4 linked regions of the Arabidopsis thaliana genome follow. The protein of the gene in region 1 interacts with the protein of each later gene in a pairwise test. Each region holds a gene or a part of one and is shown in the gene's direction. Other genes may lie near its edges.

Region 1 (4,914 bases):
TCTCTTCTTGGCATTCTCTGCTTCATCGGTTGCGTCAACTTGCATTTTTGTCTCCGTTAGATGAGCCTCCGTAGCTTCCTTCTCGTTCTTTGCCGTCAATCTCTTTGTCTTCCAAACCAAAATAAAAATAAAAGATTATAACAAAATGAAACTAATCAATAAGGAAATTAACGAGACACCAAATACGTCAAGTGATCATTGATTCAAGAAGACCCATGAGTCTCTGATCCGCTTGTTTCAGTGGCTCGAAACAAGACTCTTGTATACGCACCTGGCCAACAAAAAAGGCTTTGACATAGCTAAACCCTTCCTGGCATGTTACTGCCATGGATAAACAGTTAGTCTTCACTCGATCGGACAAAGACTTCGCCGGCTGTCGTGATGTCTCGGCGTCTTGCATCGCTGCTTTTTCGAGATAGATAGATTGCTTGAAACTTGAAAGCAAGACTAGGAAATATCTCACTTTCTTGTGCCAATGATGATTTTTTTTAACTATTAATGATTCTGGAAGCAACTCTTGCCACGTCTGTTTTACGTGTTAGCTGTAGAGATACCGACGTGTATTAAAGCAAGAGGCTATTTTACTTTGGGCCTTTTGGGCTTTTGGGCTGAAGAAAGAAACTGTCATCGGATCAACAAACACTGCATAGTTTGCAACTTGCACGGTAAAGCGACACAAAATCCATGACGTTTAATTTAGGTTCCACGTGAAGAACCATACCACATATCGTGCAATAAGAAACTGATCACTTTTATATACCTAAACGATTTACAATTTACACTACTATGCTTGACACGATATGTAATTTTTTTTTTTTTGCCAAAGGGTGTTGTTATTGATATTAAACATTGTACAATACAACGTACATAGACTGTTTATATAAAACAAGGACGTCTAGATAAAAAAAGCAAATAACAAATATTACAAGACTAGTTAAGGAAACAACAAACTGAGTAAGGTTTTATGTACAAAACAGAGACGACTACCAAAGAAGAGGGCCAGACGTGGTAGCAGTGATGGAAGACAAACATCCTGACATCTCAATAAGAACATTTATGGCTACTTCAAATACATATATACACAATATGTAATTCTCTTATTACATTTATGGCTACTTCAAATACATATATACAAAAAAAAAAGGCCTACCTTCGACAGAAGTTATACCAATTTATTGATCGGAAGCTACAAAATGTTATCTAGGGTCAATTTGTAGCCTATCTCTATATCAAAACCGATACGGATACAAAATAGTTTGATAATCATAGAATTTAACATTCTAATAAATATTTGTTTCTAGTATTCTTTAAATGAATAATCTTGTGTTCAATTAGTCTATTCATAGTAGAATTAAGTCTCCTAAAAAATAGATTGAAACCAAAAACAGCCGCACATGGATTTAATATCGACTTTAGTTAGGAGGTTTTGCTAAAAATAGTAAAATACTCACAAACTCACTTCTAAATACTAATCTTTTACACTCATGTCATGTGCTTTAAAGATATGAGAGAACCTTTCCTAGTACACCTACAGTCAAAATTTTCAAGATTCCGAAATTTTCTAGGTTTTTTGAGCAAGAGCCAAGAATCCCAAATGTTTGAATTTGTATTTTTGATCCAAAAATACTACAACATCGTATAAAGAATAAATCATACGTGTCAGAACGAGACATATGAAGATGATGAAAGCATTGAGCCGCCCCTCAAAAAATCCGTTCAACGTTTGAGAGTCAAGGCCACAAGGTCTGACCAATCTATCTCTTCTCCTTCTTCTTCTAATCATATTTTCAACGGTCAAACTTTTTATCACCTTCTCAGAAACTACTCTTCTTCATATGTGACCCTAAAAATAAAAACGAACAATTAAACAAAATTTTAAAATAATATAATATTCACCAATCAGACGTGCAATATGTTTTATATATTCAGACATAACCAACAAATATACAGAAACAAGAAGAAGAACAAGAACCATCACTTCTCTCATTTTCTTCTTCTCCAAGCCCCCCTCCTTTCTATATATATCTGAAATTGGTCTTTTATAAAACAAACTTCCATTTTTCGTATGGCTGCTTCTTTTCTTACAATGGACAATAGCAGAACCAGACAAAACATGAATGGTTCTGCTAATTGGTCACAACAATCCGGAAGAACATCTACTTCCTCTTTGGAAGATCTTGAGATACCAAAGTTCAGATCTTTTGCTCCTTCTTCAATCTCTATCTCTCCTTCTCTTGTCTCTCCTTCCACTTGTTTCAGTCCCTCTCTTTTTCTCGATTCCCCTGCTTTTGTCTCCTCCTCTGCTAACGTAAGCCTCTCTGTTTTTTTTCTCTGTTTCTTTTGAAATGAATCCAATTAGTGATGATAATCTGTGTTTGATGTATCATTGATTTAACATCTTGACAATGAATCGTGATCGGAAGTGATAAAGTTATGGGTCAACGGTTTCAAAGAGAGAGAAAGACTTTTAGAGTCAACTCTCGACTCTTTCTTAATTATGTTATTGCTATTTGTCTCTTTTCTTGAAGTCTGAACAATTCTTGGGATTGTTTTGCAGGTTCTAGCTTCTCCAACCACAGGAGCTTTAATCACAAACGTAACTAACCAGAAAGGTATAAATGAAGGAGACAAGAGCAACAACAACAACTTTAACTTATTCGATTTCTCATTCCACACACAATCATCAGGAGTTTCTGCTCCGACCACAACTACAACTACAACTACAACTACAACAACAACAAACAGTTCTATCTTTCAATCTCAGGTATGTACTTCATCAACAGCTCAAATCCTCTGTTTATGAGTTTTTCTATAACTTTGTTTTGAGTTTCAGGAACAACAGAAGAAGAACCAGTCAGAACAATGGAGCCAAACCGAGACTCGTCCAAACAATCAAGCTGTATCTTACAATGGAAGAGAGCAAAGGAAAGGAGAGGATGGTTACAATTGGAGAAAGTACGGACAAAAACAGGTGAAAGGAAGTGAGAATCCTCGGAGTTACTATAAGTGTACTTTCCCTAATTGTCCAACGAAGAAGAAAGTGGAGAGATCTTTGGAAGGTCAGATCACAGAGATTGTGTATAAAGGAAGCCACAACCATCCTAAACCTCAGTCTACTAGAAGATCTTCTTCGTCTTCTTCGACTTTTCATTCAGCTGTGTACAATGCCAGTTTGGATCATAATCGTCAAGCTTCTTCTGATCAGCCTAATTCCAATAATAGCTTTCATCAGTCTGATTCCTTTGGGATGCAACAAGAGGATAATACTACTTCTGATTCTGTTGGTGACGATGAGTTCGAACAAGGCTCATCGATTGTCAGCAGAGACGAAGAAGATTGTGGGAGTGAACCTGAAGCAAAGAGATGGTACAGATCATCATCACCCTCCAAATTTGCTACTCTTTGAACAATCTTGAATATGAAAGTTCTAAAATGTATGTTTTTTTGTGTTTTCAGGAAAGGGGACAATGAAACAAATGGTGGGAATGGTGGTGGAAGCAAGACAGTGAGAGAGCCGAGAATCGTAGTGCAGACAACGAGTGATATTGACATTCTTGACGACGGTTACAGATGGAGAAAATACGGCCAGAAAGTCGTTAAGGGAAACCCAAATCCAAGGTAATAACATAAACAATTGTGCATCTCAATAACTCAGAATTAAGGTTCTTGAGAATCTGACCTTTTGTTTTCTTTTCATTTGCTGAATCTTAACAGAAGCTACTACAAGTGCACAACCATCGGTTGTCCAGTGAGGAAACATGTGGAGAGAGCATCACACGACATGAGAGCAGTAATCACAACCTACGAAGGGAAACACAACCACGATGTTCCTGCAGCTCGTGGTAGCGGTTACGCCACAAACAGAGCACCACAGGATTCGTCTTCAGTCCCGATTAGACCAGCTGCTATTGCTGGTCACTCCAACTACACTACTTCTTCTCAAGCACCATATACACTTCAGATGCTGCACAACAACAACACTAATACCGGGCCTTTTGGTTACGCCATGAACAACAATAACAACAACAGCAACCTTCAAACGCAACAAAACTTTGTTGGTGGTGGATTCTCTAGAGCAAAGGAAGAACCAAACGAGGAGACCTCATTTTTCGATTCGTTTATGCCCTGAAGAAAAAAGGAACCAGTTGTTCCTTTTTTATGTTCCTTTTGTACATTTCTGCCACCAAAGGATTTTACTACTTACTAGTTATCCTGCAGGATAGTAAGTCAGACTTCTATAGTCCATAGAGAAATTTTTTCATTTGTTTTTTCACACGCCTGTAATATGTTTAATGTTTGTACTTTGTACCATAGAACTAGAACACGGAATAAAACCAATCAATTTTCAGTTTCTTCACTTTGAATAATGAATCAAAGAAGCACACACACACACACACAGTGACACAGGGAGACACAGTGACAGTCTGACAGACCCAAATAACAGAAGTTGATATCAGCTATAAGAACACATAAAAGAATTGACATTTACATGTATAACAAAGATCACAATGGTATATAACTACTGAAGCACATTATTGCAAAGAGATCTTCAGATAAAAGAATGAGTGGAGAGTTTGTAACCGGAGAAGAGAGCAGAGAGAGCTAAAGCAATGAATGCGAAGATAGCCATACTTATAGCAGAAGCAGCAGAATCAGTGAAAATGTTATCTTGACCTTCTCTGAATATGTTTGTCAATGGAATTGCAGATGATGCAGCTGATATAAGCAAATACGCCACAATCTGCAAATTTCACTTTTTTGCATAAAAATCATAACTTTACATATATAAATCTGAGAATTGATAATCAGTTTGTGGCATTACCTGGTCGCCGGAGAAATCGACCAAAATAGAAGTCCGGCGATCGAAAATTTCCCTTTTTGAGAAATGTGCAAATGTTTGCCACGCAGTGTATA
Region 2 (3,214 bases), on another chromosome or scaffold:
AAAGACTCGTGTGTGTTCGACTCTGAGTCTCTGACGCACTCATTTGTACAAAAAGCTCTCAGACTACAAAACCAAATCCTTTCCGTTGAGTTTCAAGCTCACTCTCTCTCTCTCCATCTGTCTCCCTTTTCTGTTACAGCCGTTAGATCTCTTTCATATCTCTACTCTTGATCCGACGGCCATTATCTATTGTATCATATCTTGTAGTGCATGATTAAAATGATTCACCATTGTGTCTATTTCCGTGTGGATCTCAGCAACATATAGAGTTGGCAAAAATGTTCTGAGGCAAAGTTAGATTGTGCAACAAAAAACTAGTGGTTTATTTAAGGTTTAGTACTATTTTTAACAAGGAGGTTCGACACACGTATATGTTCTCTAATTAAGGTTTTGTTTGTTCACGTATTTTAAGTAGTTAGCATAGATATCTATAGCTAGGATACTAGTTGGCTTTATTAACTTATTTTTCTTGCAAAGTTGTCATAGAGATATTAATAATACTATACTATACTATATGTGTAGCTATGCATTTTGGTATATTTTTTTTCTTATTCGTGGTTGATCACTAATATTTATGAGGAGCTTGCTGTATATAGAATTTAATTATTAATGTTTAGATAATGTATATATGTGTTGGATGATCAAAAAAAGAAAGTGTTAATTATTAAATATTTTTCTGTGTTGGTATTTTGATAAAGAGAGAAAAAAAAAAGGGTGAAGAATAGACGTCAGGAAGTGAAACTGCCTCGTGCATTAAGAGATAGAGGACGTGATCAGACGACTAAAGGTAAAAAAGCTAAGTGAGAGTCACCGCAGAGTCATGCCATCTCCATGTCTTCACATTCTACTTTTCCTTTATATTATCTCTATTTGCTGATTAACTTGTTTCTTTTGTTCCTTTAGTTACTTTTATCCAAAAAAAACTTTAGTTGATTGCTTCCTTAATGCAAACTCAGTGAATAATTAAGATATACATGTGTAACAAATTCACAATGACAGTATTCTGCATGTATGAGTATATGTTTTTGGCTGATACAATTACACCAAACATGAATCTGATGTAAATTAGAAGTGCAGACAATGATATGCAAAAATTGACCTCTATTATCAACTAAACGTTATAATATAAACGAATATTGTTTTGTTGCAAATATATAAGACCAATCATATAAGTTTGTTGAGTTTGTGTGTCATGGTGCCAAGTTTGTGAAATCCTACTTATCTATGCCACTTGCATTTATCTATACACAAGAACGCATATATATTAATATAGGCTCAGAACAGAAAAATTCCAATATTACGTTAAATATTAAAGAAAATACAACATGAATATTAATTTGGTTTGTGGGAGGAGGGGACCAGTGTGCTTCTTGTTCCTCTATTCCATGTCTTAAGAAGCTAGCATACTAACACATCTTTCTCATAATACAATAGTTACATGTAATTAGTTTATTCCAACTAGTTTAAAAAATGAAAAATTAATTTAGTCCAACTAGTTAGTTTCTCCAATAAATGTATATATCAACAAGACCAGAGATCCATTTGTTTAAAATATAGTTTTCTTACTATTAATTACATGATGGCTATAAATTTATAATTTTGGATCGTGTTTTGAGTACAATTATCAAATAGATAAACAAAGTGACCATTAAATTATTTGCCTATATCTAGTTCATATATATTAAGTACTCCCCATAGCACTATTTAAAAGGATATAATTAAGTTGAACAGAAAAAGTTTAAATTATTTTGTTCTTTCATACTTATCATTTCCTCTCCTTCTATATAACCTTCAAATATCTTCACTTACAATCAAATTCACCAACTCTCTCTAGCCCTTTCTCTTTTCTCTCTCTCTCTATATATTGCTAAACAAAACCCTACTTATTCTAAAAATGGAAGCCACGATCTTCGAGAAAAGAAGAAGCTCGTTATCAAGCATAGCGGTGCACAAACAGTCATACTCGATAACCAAATCAAAGCCAAAGATCCGTATAATTCACATATTTGCTCCGGAGATCATCAAGACCGACGTTGCCAACTTCCGTGAGCTCGTCCAAAGCCTCACCGGCAAACCAGACGACCAGAGAACTTCCAAGGCAAAACCTAGAAGAGATATGCATCGTCTTCATCGTCAAGTCCAAGACATGATCAACACGGAGAAACTAAGAGAACCCGAGCATTGTGATCAAGAGTTCTGCTTAAACGCAGAAGAGCTCTCGATGACTTGGAACGGTAATAATGGCGCTGGTGAAAGCTCTGGAGGGTTCTTGAATGGTTTGGGAGATTTCGAAGGGTTTATTCAAGAACTTGGTGAATTTCCTTATTTGCCCTTGTCCTCCATTGATGCTTCTGCTTCTTCTAACTCCTCTTCTTCCTCTCATTTACATGGTGGATCAGTTTTCTCAGATCAATTCGCTTAACTCGGTCTCTCAAAGGATGTGTAACCTTTTTCATCTTTTATTTTGTTTACTAGGTTTTTGTGGAAATGAATTTTTAATTTATTACTTTTTTTTTTGTTTGTTTAGTATGAGGCTAATTGATTTAATGAAATTAGCTGAGACTCCTTTTATTTCTCCCTTAAGGTCTTTATGATTTGTCCATTGTCTTCAAAATGTAATGTACACTGATAAATGTTGTGTCTAGCTTTTGCTTTCTTGGACGTCCTCTAAGCATTTACAATGTTAAATGTTTCATATATATCAGAGTGAAAACATTCACTAATAAAATCAACAGAGGCAAATTTTGGCAATCGAATGAGACAAAAGACGAAGTAGATTTAAGAAAAGAGGTCTCAGTGTGTCCGGAGATATACTATAGTGAGGTCGGTAAGTTGTATACACTTTTTGTTCTTACATTTACAGAGAGAATCAGAGTAACAAGAGAACCTGTTTTTAACTGTTGTATTCAAGATTCTCTACAACACTCGATGAAGACATCGGAGACGATGTTTCCACCCTCGTTAGAACTTCAGGCACTCCTGCGGTATCTCTTACAATCTACATAACAACAACCAAAAGACTCGTTTTATAATTTTCTGTAAGCTCCAACTTGTATCATCATAACATTTCAGGAACTTACAAGAATCTCGTCGTCTAGATAAGATATCATGAAGAATCTTTGGTAAGTTCCACCTGAAAGTCAATAACAACAACACTACTTGGTTACAATGTTACATGTGAGGAGTGGAAAATGTTAAAATGATGGTTATGGCT
Region 3 (3,727 bases), on another chromosome or scaffold:
TTAATAAACAATCGAAATAGGCACAAACAATCGAAAATCATTTAACAGAATAAACAAAGTCAGTCTTTTCTCGGTGGAACTGTGATGATAGCTTTTACAAATTTCATTTGCTTTCAGCTTCTTTAGGACAAAGCACTTCTCACTAAGCGGATGCAAGCATCAACAAGGCTGAAACCACCTCTCTATCTCGGACAGAATTAGGGTTTTTCTTCATGAAACCACACTTTGAATTCTCGATTTCTCTACACTGAGACCAAGCGCTCTTCTCCATCTCTAAGCTCGAACGAAACTCTTATTCAAAAGAATCTCCAATTCCGTCCGATTTGTGCTTCAAAATTAAAAAAGAATCATGTTCCCTCGTTTTTCTTCACCTCCAAAACTGGGCCTCTCTGGGCCTTAATTCGTTTAAAGCAGATGGGCTCTTAATGAAACTTCCCTTGACCATAAAATTTGACTCTTACGTTGTTGATTTTCCTTTTCTTCGAGTCAACAGGATCAATCAACATTGTCTTAGTTTGGTTGACCAGGCTCAACATTTGATTCAAAGTGACTTTTTTTCTTATGATTTTTAAGTTTTCAGAATTTAAAATTAGATAACTTCCTAGTAAGGGTGTTAGTTGGATACTTTTTTCATCAGAAATTTCATAGCAATTTTTTCTATCAGTTCCCACTGAAACAGCGAGAATCTAAGAAGAAAAGTGGACAAATGGAAATGAAGAAAGAGTTGTTCTGTATTTTACTCAAGCCTAAAAGGAATACTAATAAAGAAGGTTTCAATGGAAACACAAGAAAAAAAGTTCATAGAGTCAAATGGAAGCAAAGCTAAGGAACAAAGAAAAAACGTGAAGTGTGAAGAAAAAGGAGGGAAAAAATCTTCGCTTTTTGCCTACTTCCTTCACGCAACCTAAAACTAAAAGCCTATTAATTTTGTTCTCTTTTCTTTTTCAGATTGTTTTATATGTTGAACATTTCTATTTATCTTTGTCCTCCACTAATTAAATCGGATGCATGATGTATTCTCTCATATTAACAATATAAAATGTAACGTAAGAAGAAGTACTTTTTTAAAAGTAATCACAATCTCTAACAAACAACACCAAAAACTTTATCGCTTATATTATTATAATTACTCAACAATGTACGGATTTGAAGTCATTTAATTTTTTACTTTTCAAAATTTGAACCTCCATAAATTTTGTAGGGGAAAGTTCTGATGCCCTTCTCGTCACAGCATTTATTTCTTTGGGAAATTCAAAATTCGAAAATTCATAAAATCATGGACGTGTGGTAATTACGCTTATTACATACTATCATATGATCACGGCCAGGGATCAATCATTACGCAGTTGCCTACAAAGGTTATAACATTAGGTTTTCTTTTGTATCACATATCAATTCGTCAACCACGTCTAAAGTATATAACGTTTGTGTACAGAAAAATATATAGTGGGATATTATAGACTAGTGGAATGCTTTGAAAATATCAATTAAGTTGCTTGCGGAGTCAACAATGAACCGACTAAATGTTTCATTATCACGAATTATCTATATATGATGTTCCCAGGTATTGAATTGGCAACACTTCTAATAATGTATGGTTAGCTTGGGCGTTGACTTTGACATTATAATCATCTAGAAACAGTTTTAATCCGTATTCAAATCACAAATATTAGTGAATTATTAGCAACTAAACATATAATTTATTTTTTAGTCAACTTATCAACTAAAGATTCTAGACGTGCAAAGTCAAACAATAATAGCCACTTTGGTTAATTACTAAATTTAATATGTTGGCAAAAAATGTCAATAAAAACACACAAACACACAATAGGGTCTTCTTTAAATATATGTGCAGTAGGCAGACGAATGTCTTTTAGACAAAAACAAAAACAAGCTTCTCTTCTCTCTTCTCTTCTTCTCTTTAGTCATCTCAACCACCATGAGTCACCAGCAGCCGCCGAGCTATGCCACCGAGCCAAACACCATGTTCGTTCAAGCAGACCCCTCTAATTTCCGTAACATCGTCCAAAAGCTCACTGGAGCACCACCCGATATCTCCTCCTCATCCTTCTCCGCCGTCTCAGCCGCACACCAGAAGCTTCCATTAACTCCCAAAAAGCCAGCGTTCAAACTCCACGAACGGCGTCAATCATCAAAGAAAATGGAGCTTAAGGTCAACAACATCACAAACCCTAACGACGCTTTCAGCCATTTCCACCGAGGATTCCTCGTCTCTCCCGTCTCTCACCTAGACCCATTCTGGGCGCGCGTGAGTCCACATTCAGCGCGTGAGGAACACCACGCGCAACCGGACAAGGAAGAGCAAAAAGCCATAGCGGAAAAAGGGTTCTACTTCCTTCCGAGTCCGAGAAGCGGCTCCGAGCCGGCACCGGAGCTTTTGCCCCTGTTTCCTCTTCGTTCTCCTAACGGCACTAATCACCGGATTCATGAAGATAATCATCGAGACTCTTAGTCTTAATTTAGAACGTATAATTTGAGTTTTAGGCTATTTAATCGTAAGTTGGGGACACGTGATATTTGCTGTTGCTTTTTACTATTTTTGTTAGGGCTAGTTAATATCCGTTTTCCATTTAACCTAGACTTTTTTCATCCTTCATTAAACTTTTTCTTCAAGGGTCAACTATTTCGGCGCGTGTACTCCACTTCCTTTTGGAATACAAAAAAATCTTATTCTATACGCGGCAATTACTTACATTAGTCAAGGAAGACATCATTTCACGAGCATATAAATCAATGTCTTTTTAGATCTTTTATCTAACCATTAATACGTGGGATCCAAAACACAAGCTATCTAGTTTCTAAATTTCTTGAAAAAAGATAATATAACCACAATGCTCAATTTTCTTTTGGAAAGTAGTACTTTTTGACAAGTCTACAACGATCAAGCTAGCGTAATCGTCTTCGTATCTTAAATTTTTCCTTACAATAAAGTTGATGATGTGTGTATGGAGATGAATGAAAAGATAGGCTAAATAGGCCGACTTATAATAGATACAAAAATGTGTTGACTTTTTGGTTAAGAAAGAAACTAAAGAAGCTAAATTCTCTGTACAGTTTAACACTGCTCCAATTCAATTGTTTGTGTGTGTCATAAAGCTGCCAGCCGTTGGATTTAATGACAAAGCTGTGACGCAGAACGAAGCGGCGCCTATTTCCTCTGCAGATTCAACGGCTACGATTTAATTCTCCTGCTGAAAATATAATGCACTTTTCTTTTGTATCGATATTAAATAGATGTTACTTGTAACAGAGGGTGTCTCTGCATCTCTCTTTAAAGTCTGTTGTCAGTCTATCTTCGAACTCTGCCCCTCAGGTGTAATCCATATTTCAAACCTCTGCTCTAATCCTAGCCATCCATTTGTCTCAAGTCCCATCCAAAAGCCCATTTAAAGATCAAAAGTTCATCATTCAAAATCTGGTCTATTTGGGCCTCGAGTAAAAAAATTAATAGGACTAGTCTATGAAACCCATTAAAGTTCTTGGATACCAAAATCAAGGCTCCTTTAATAAACTTTAAAAGTTTTGTGTCGACACATGTTTCGAAAGTTTGTTTGCTTGCAATTATATAATTAGATCAGTTTTGTATAGAGAACCTAAAAGTTCAAATCTTCCTTTTGAAGTTTTGTATAGAGAACATAAATATTTGGTAAAGTGACACTGAATAAATACAATATTTCTTTATTTTGTTGTTCATGAAAAGATTTGT
Region 4 (3,514 bases), on another chromosome or scaffold:
ATAATTGATGAAATAAACGTAAGTGTAATGATTTGTTCTACGTTTTTCATTTCTCGACTTTCTGATACGGTGAGTGGTGACTGTAGTCTGTTGATCTGGTTGACTCTAATAAAAATAAAAGTGAATACAAGGCCCACCAACAAAGACAAAATTGGGCTGAGAATCTTGGGCTATAAGATGATTAAAACTTGATTTTTAACCAATTTTTGTTTTTGGACCTTTTCGCATGTATCTGTCTTTTGATTTTCAGTTTTGATGATTTGATTTTGCTTCTTACAAAAGAATCCCAATTGTTCGACTAATTGTGGTTTTAAACTAGTACTACAAATTAATAATAATAATAGCTCTACTATATAGTTGTCATTAACAAAACTCTTCACCCTTGATGATGTCTTCTAACCAGACCTGCTTGAATCAAAACACCATCACCTAAAAAATAGGATGGTAGGAGCCAGTGGTTTTGGTGAAATCCTTCTACCAATGCACTCTAAAACATCTAATTGTATGAATTATGCAATGATTGAGACACTAGTGATTCTAAGCAATTTTCTGCCCTTTTAGTTTAGGTTTAGGATCAAATGATATTTTGGTTAGCAACAATTAATAGTTACATTAGATAAATAATACGAAAAACATCTCCCTGTTAGACAACAACAAACTGAAAATAAAGGATTTGACGTAAAACAAGTTAGTTTATCATGATGTGAAAAACAAATTGATCGAGTAGAAACTCAAAGCATCCAAAGAAAGTTGGATCAACGGTTGTATAATTCAACACATGGTAGTTAGTATAGGGAGATTTGTTTCACTAGTTTTAAGGAGAGTAAGTCAACAATCCCGCGTATCAACATTAAATAATGACCAAAACAATACGATTTGTTCTTACAAAAATATCATACAGCTATTGTTAACTACAAATGTCAAATTCTTGAAATTTTATATAACCGAAACACGCTAATGTCAAACTATGATCTATTTAAATTAAATAGATAACTTTGACCTTTAAATCAGTTGATGCAACATTCAAGTAGTGAACAAAAAAAAATCGATTGATGTAACTAATTATACTTATTTTACTAGTTTGGATAAACGAAATTGTCTGACCTAGTGACCTCTCCATATGATTAGTGGCCGCTTTTTTTTTGGATAATTAATTAATCTTTTTTTTTGGGTCAAACAATTTTGGATTTTTGATCCAAGGAATCAAAACATCAAAACAAAAAGCTTTGCACGTGTACAGATGAGTCACATATCACGTCCGACGAGTATCTGTCGTGTTTATTAAGTTATTAGTATAGGGCACACGGAATTTGTTTTTCTTTTTGTCGGTTTATCTAATCTCTTAATTCCGAAACAAATGTAATTTTTTTACTATTAACGATGTTTACCATAGACAATAAATAATTACATTTCACATATGCTCCGTGAAAATTACTAAGACGAATTTCACATATGTAGTGAAAGATTGTTTTAAAATATATGTACAACTCCAAGAAACCCTATCTCCATAAGCCATGTAACAAATTATTATTATTATTATTTTGGTAAAGGACATTTTAACAAATTCGTAAATAAAACAAAGTCAAATTCACCTCCAAAGGTTAAGTCGACGACCTATATTATATAGTCAACCACATATATTAAATAAAACATCGCTCACGCCATCTACTCATATGTATGTTTTTACTTAATTATATAGCTAATTGATTATATGATATATCATCAGTTGGAAAATTAAAAACCATTTTATTCCGATAGCGTAAAAGAAACAGATCATTCTTTTTGTTTAAATTACAATTTATTTAACTCAAGTTGTTGAAAAGTGTGTAATGGAAGGCAGGTCCATAGCTATTTCGTCTTATATTTTTAACTATTTTCATTTTGTTTGTCTTTAAGAAATAGTATTTTATTAATGTTTTTTTACAAACCAACAATAAAACTGTATATTCACATTTTGTTTTTTTTGTGTATATATATAGAGACATATAATCCACAACATATGCATATCATTTCCCAAAACAATACAAGAAACCTGAAATCCAAAAAAGAAAAACCCAAAATCTTCGCTTCTTCATCTTCTTTTTACGTTTATATGGTGAGAAATTCTATGAAGGCTGAGTACGATATAGATCATCTTCCTCATCAAACCTTTTATGGTGATTATTCAAAAACTTTGGTTCCCATGAACAAGAACTCCCAAATAATAACCAAGATCAAGCCTAAGATCCGTATCATCCATATATTTGCTCCCGAGATCATCAACACCGATGTCAAGAACTTCCGCACACTCGTCCAAAGTCTAACCGGGAAACCGGAGATCACCAAAACCGGTTCTAAGAAAAAGATAACCAACACAAATTTTCCTGCGCCACCGGGTTTGCCTCAAGATTCCGGCCAAGAACATACGGCTGAACTGGACAACAGAATAATAGGGAGCCACGTGGTGAAGGAAGAATGGGGATCAAGTTCAAACACAAATACTTACTTTGATTTTGACGGTTTGATCGATCTTGATGAAGACGACAACATATTCTCAAGTCGATGGTTTGATCTTCAACAACAATAATTAGTTTGGTCACACCTTACCCTAATATGTAGGGTTTCTACTAATCGTAAGTCCTGTTGGTTTTGATGATGATTTGATCATTTATTCGATATGGAGCATAACAAGACATGGGTCAAGACAAGACCAAGGTTGAGACGATGATCATCTATATAGGTAGGAACATACATAACTTGTATATATGTACAAATGTTTGGATTTTTTGGGCTTGGGTGCCCTTTGATTTAATTTGTTAGACTGACTTAATTTACCAAGAAAGAGTGTAGTGATGAGTTTGTAGACTGATTTTGCCAAGAAAAAGTAAGTTTGTGTTTTGATCTCCGATCATGTGAAAACTCTACTTAAAAATGGTGTAACGTTGTACTCACGCGTGCGTGTGCAAGTTTTATATATAGAAAAGCGAGAATGATATTGTGATTGAATTTTTTAGATTGTTCATTTTTTTTCGTCAAATTATTTTGTTTGTTAATTCATATATAAGTCATGTTACTTACAACAAATTGTTTGATAAAACAAAAATGAATTCCATTAAACTGAATTAACGAAATACTATAATGATAAATGATTCTTACATGACTCTAAAAGAGTTTCGATTTGAATATATAAATGAATAAAGTTCTGTTTTATTGGCGATGTTCTTGATATATACCTTCAAAACTTTATGGCTAAATTACATTTTAACTTCTCAAAACGTTAGATTATGAAAGGTGGACTCACATTTCATAAACATTAAAATGATATGGTAATATGATTATAATGAGTTGTAATGGATATATGTCATATTTTTCCAATCTCATTCATTGAAATATCAGTTTATTTTTTGGATGACATAACGATCAATAGTGTCATATAATATGATATCCAATGTTTTAATATTAACTAGCTATAGCTATATCCATCATTGTTAATAGTTGTGTTACATCATTAAATAGTATTTCAAAAGAATATAAA

What was found.
Region 2: the proteins of WRKY33 (region 1) and AT3G58000 interact in a two-hybrid assay, tested with the Arabidopsis thaliana proteins (one study listed by BioGRID).
Region 3: the proteins of WRKY33 (region 1) and AT1G80450 interact in a two-hybrid assay, tested with the Arabidopsis thaliana proteins (one study listed by BioGRID).
Region 4: the proteins of WRKY33 (region 1) and AT3G60090 interact in a two-hybrid assay, tested with the Arabidopsis thaliana proteins (one study listed by BioGRID).

What each region holds. Positions count from the first base shown.
Region 1 is NC_003071.7:16,106,411-16,111,324, forward strand, and holds WRKY33 (WRKY DNA-binding protein 33), read left to right. Parts: upstream 1-1,824; 5' UTR 1,825-2,065; coding exon 2,066-2,308; exon of another isoform or gene 2,309-2,557; coding exon 2,558-2,764; intron 2,765-2,833; coding exon 2,834-3,366; intron 3,367-3,456; coding exon 3,457-3,618; intron 3,619-3,714; coding exon 3,715-4,129; 3' UTR 4,130-4,356; downstream 4,357-4,914. Other genes in the region: AT2G38465 (uncharacterized protein), read right to left, coding at 1-108, 272-400; AT2G38480 (Uncharacterized protein family (UPF0497)), read right to left, coding at 4,550-4,741, 4,823-4,914.
Region 2 is NC_003074.8:21,473,056-21,476,269, forward strand, and holds AT3G58000 (VQ motif-containing protein), read left to right. Parts: upstream 1-1,814; 5' UTR 1,815-1,894; coding exon 1,895-2,422; 3' UTR 2,423-2,695; downstream 2,696-3,214. Other genes in the region: PGL34 (plastoglobulin 34kD), read right to left, coding at 2,894-2,998, 3,081-3,133. UniProt on the Arabidopsis thaliana protein: May function as negative regulator of plant defense.
Region 3 is NC_003070.9:30,242,901-30,246,627, reverse strand, and holds AT1G80450 (VQ motif-containing protein), read left to right. Parts: upstream 1-1,678; 5' UTR 1,679-1,939; coding exon 1,940-2,473; 3' UTR 2,474-3,198; downstream 3,199-3,727. UniProt on the Arabidopsis thaliana protein: May modulate WRKY transcription factor activities.
Region 4 is NC_003074.8:22,188,766-22,192,279, forward strand, and holds AT3G60090 (VQ motif-containing protein), read left to right. Parts: upstream 1-2,016; 5' UTR 2,017-2,092; coding exon 2,093-2,566; 3' UTR 2,567-2,983; downstream 2,984-3,514.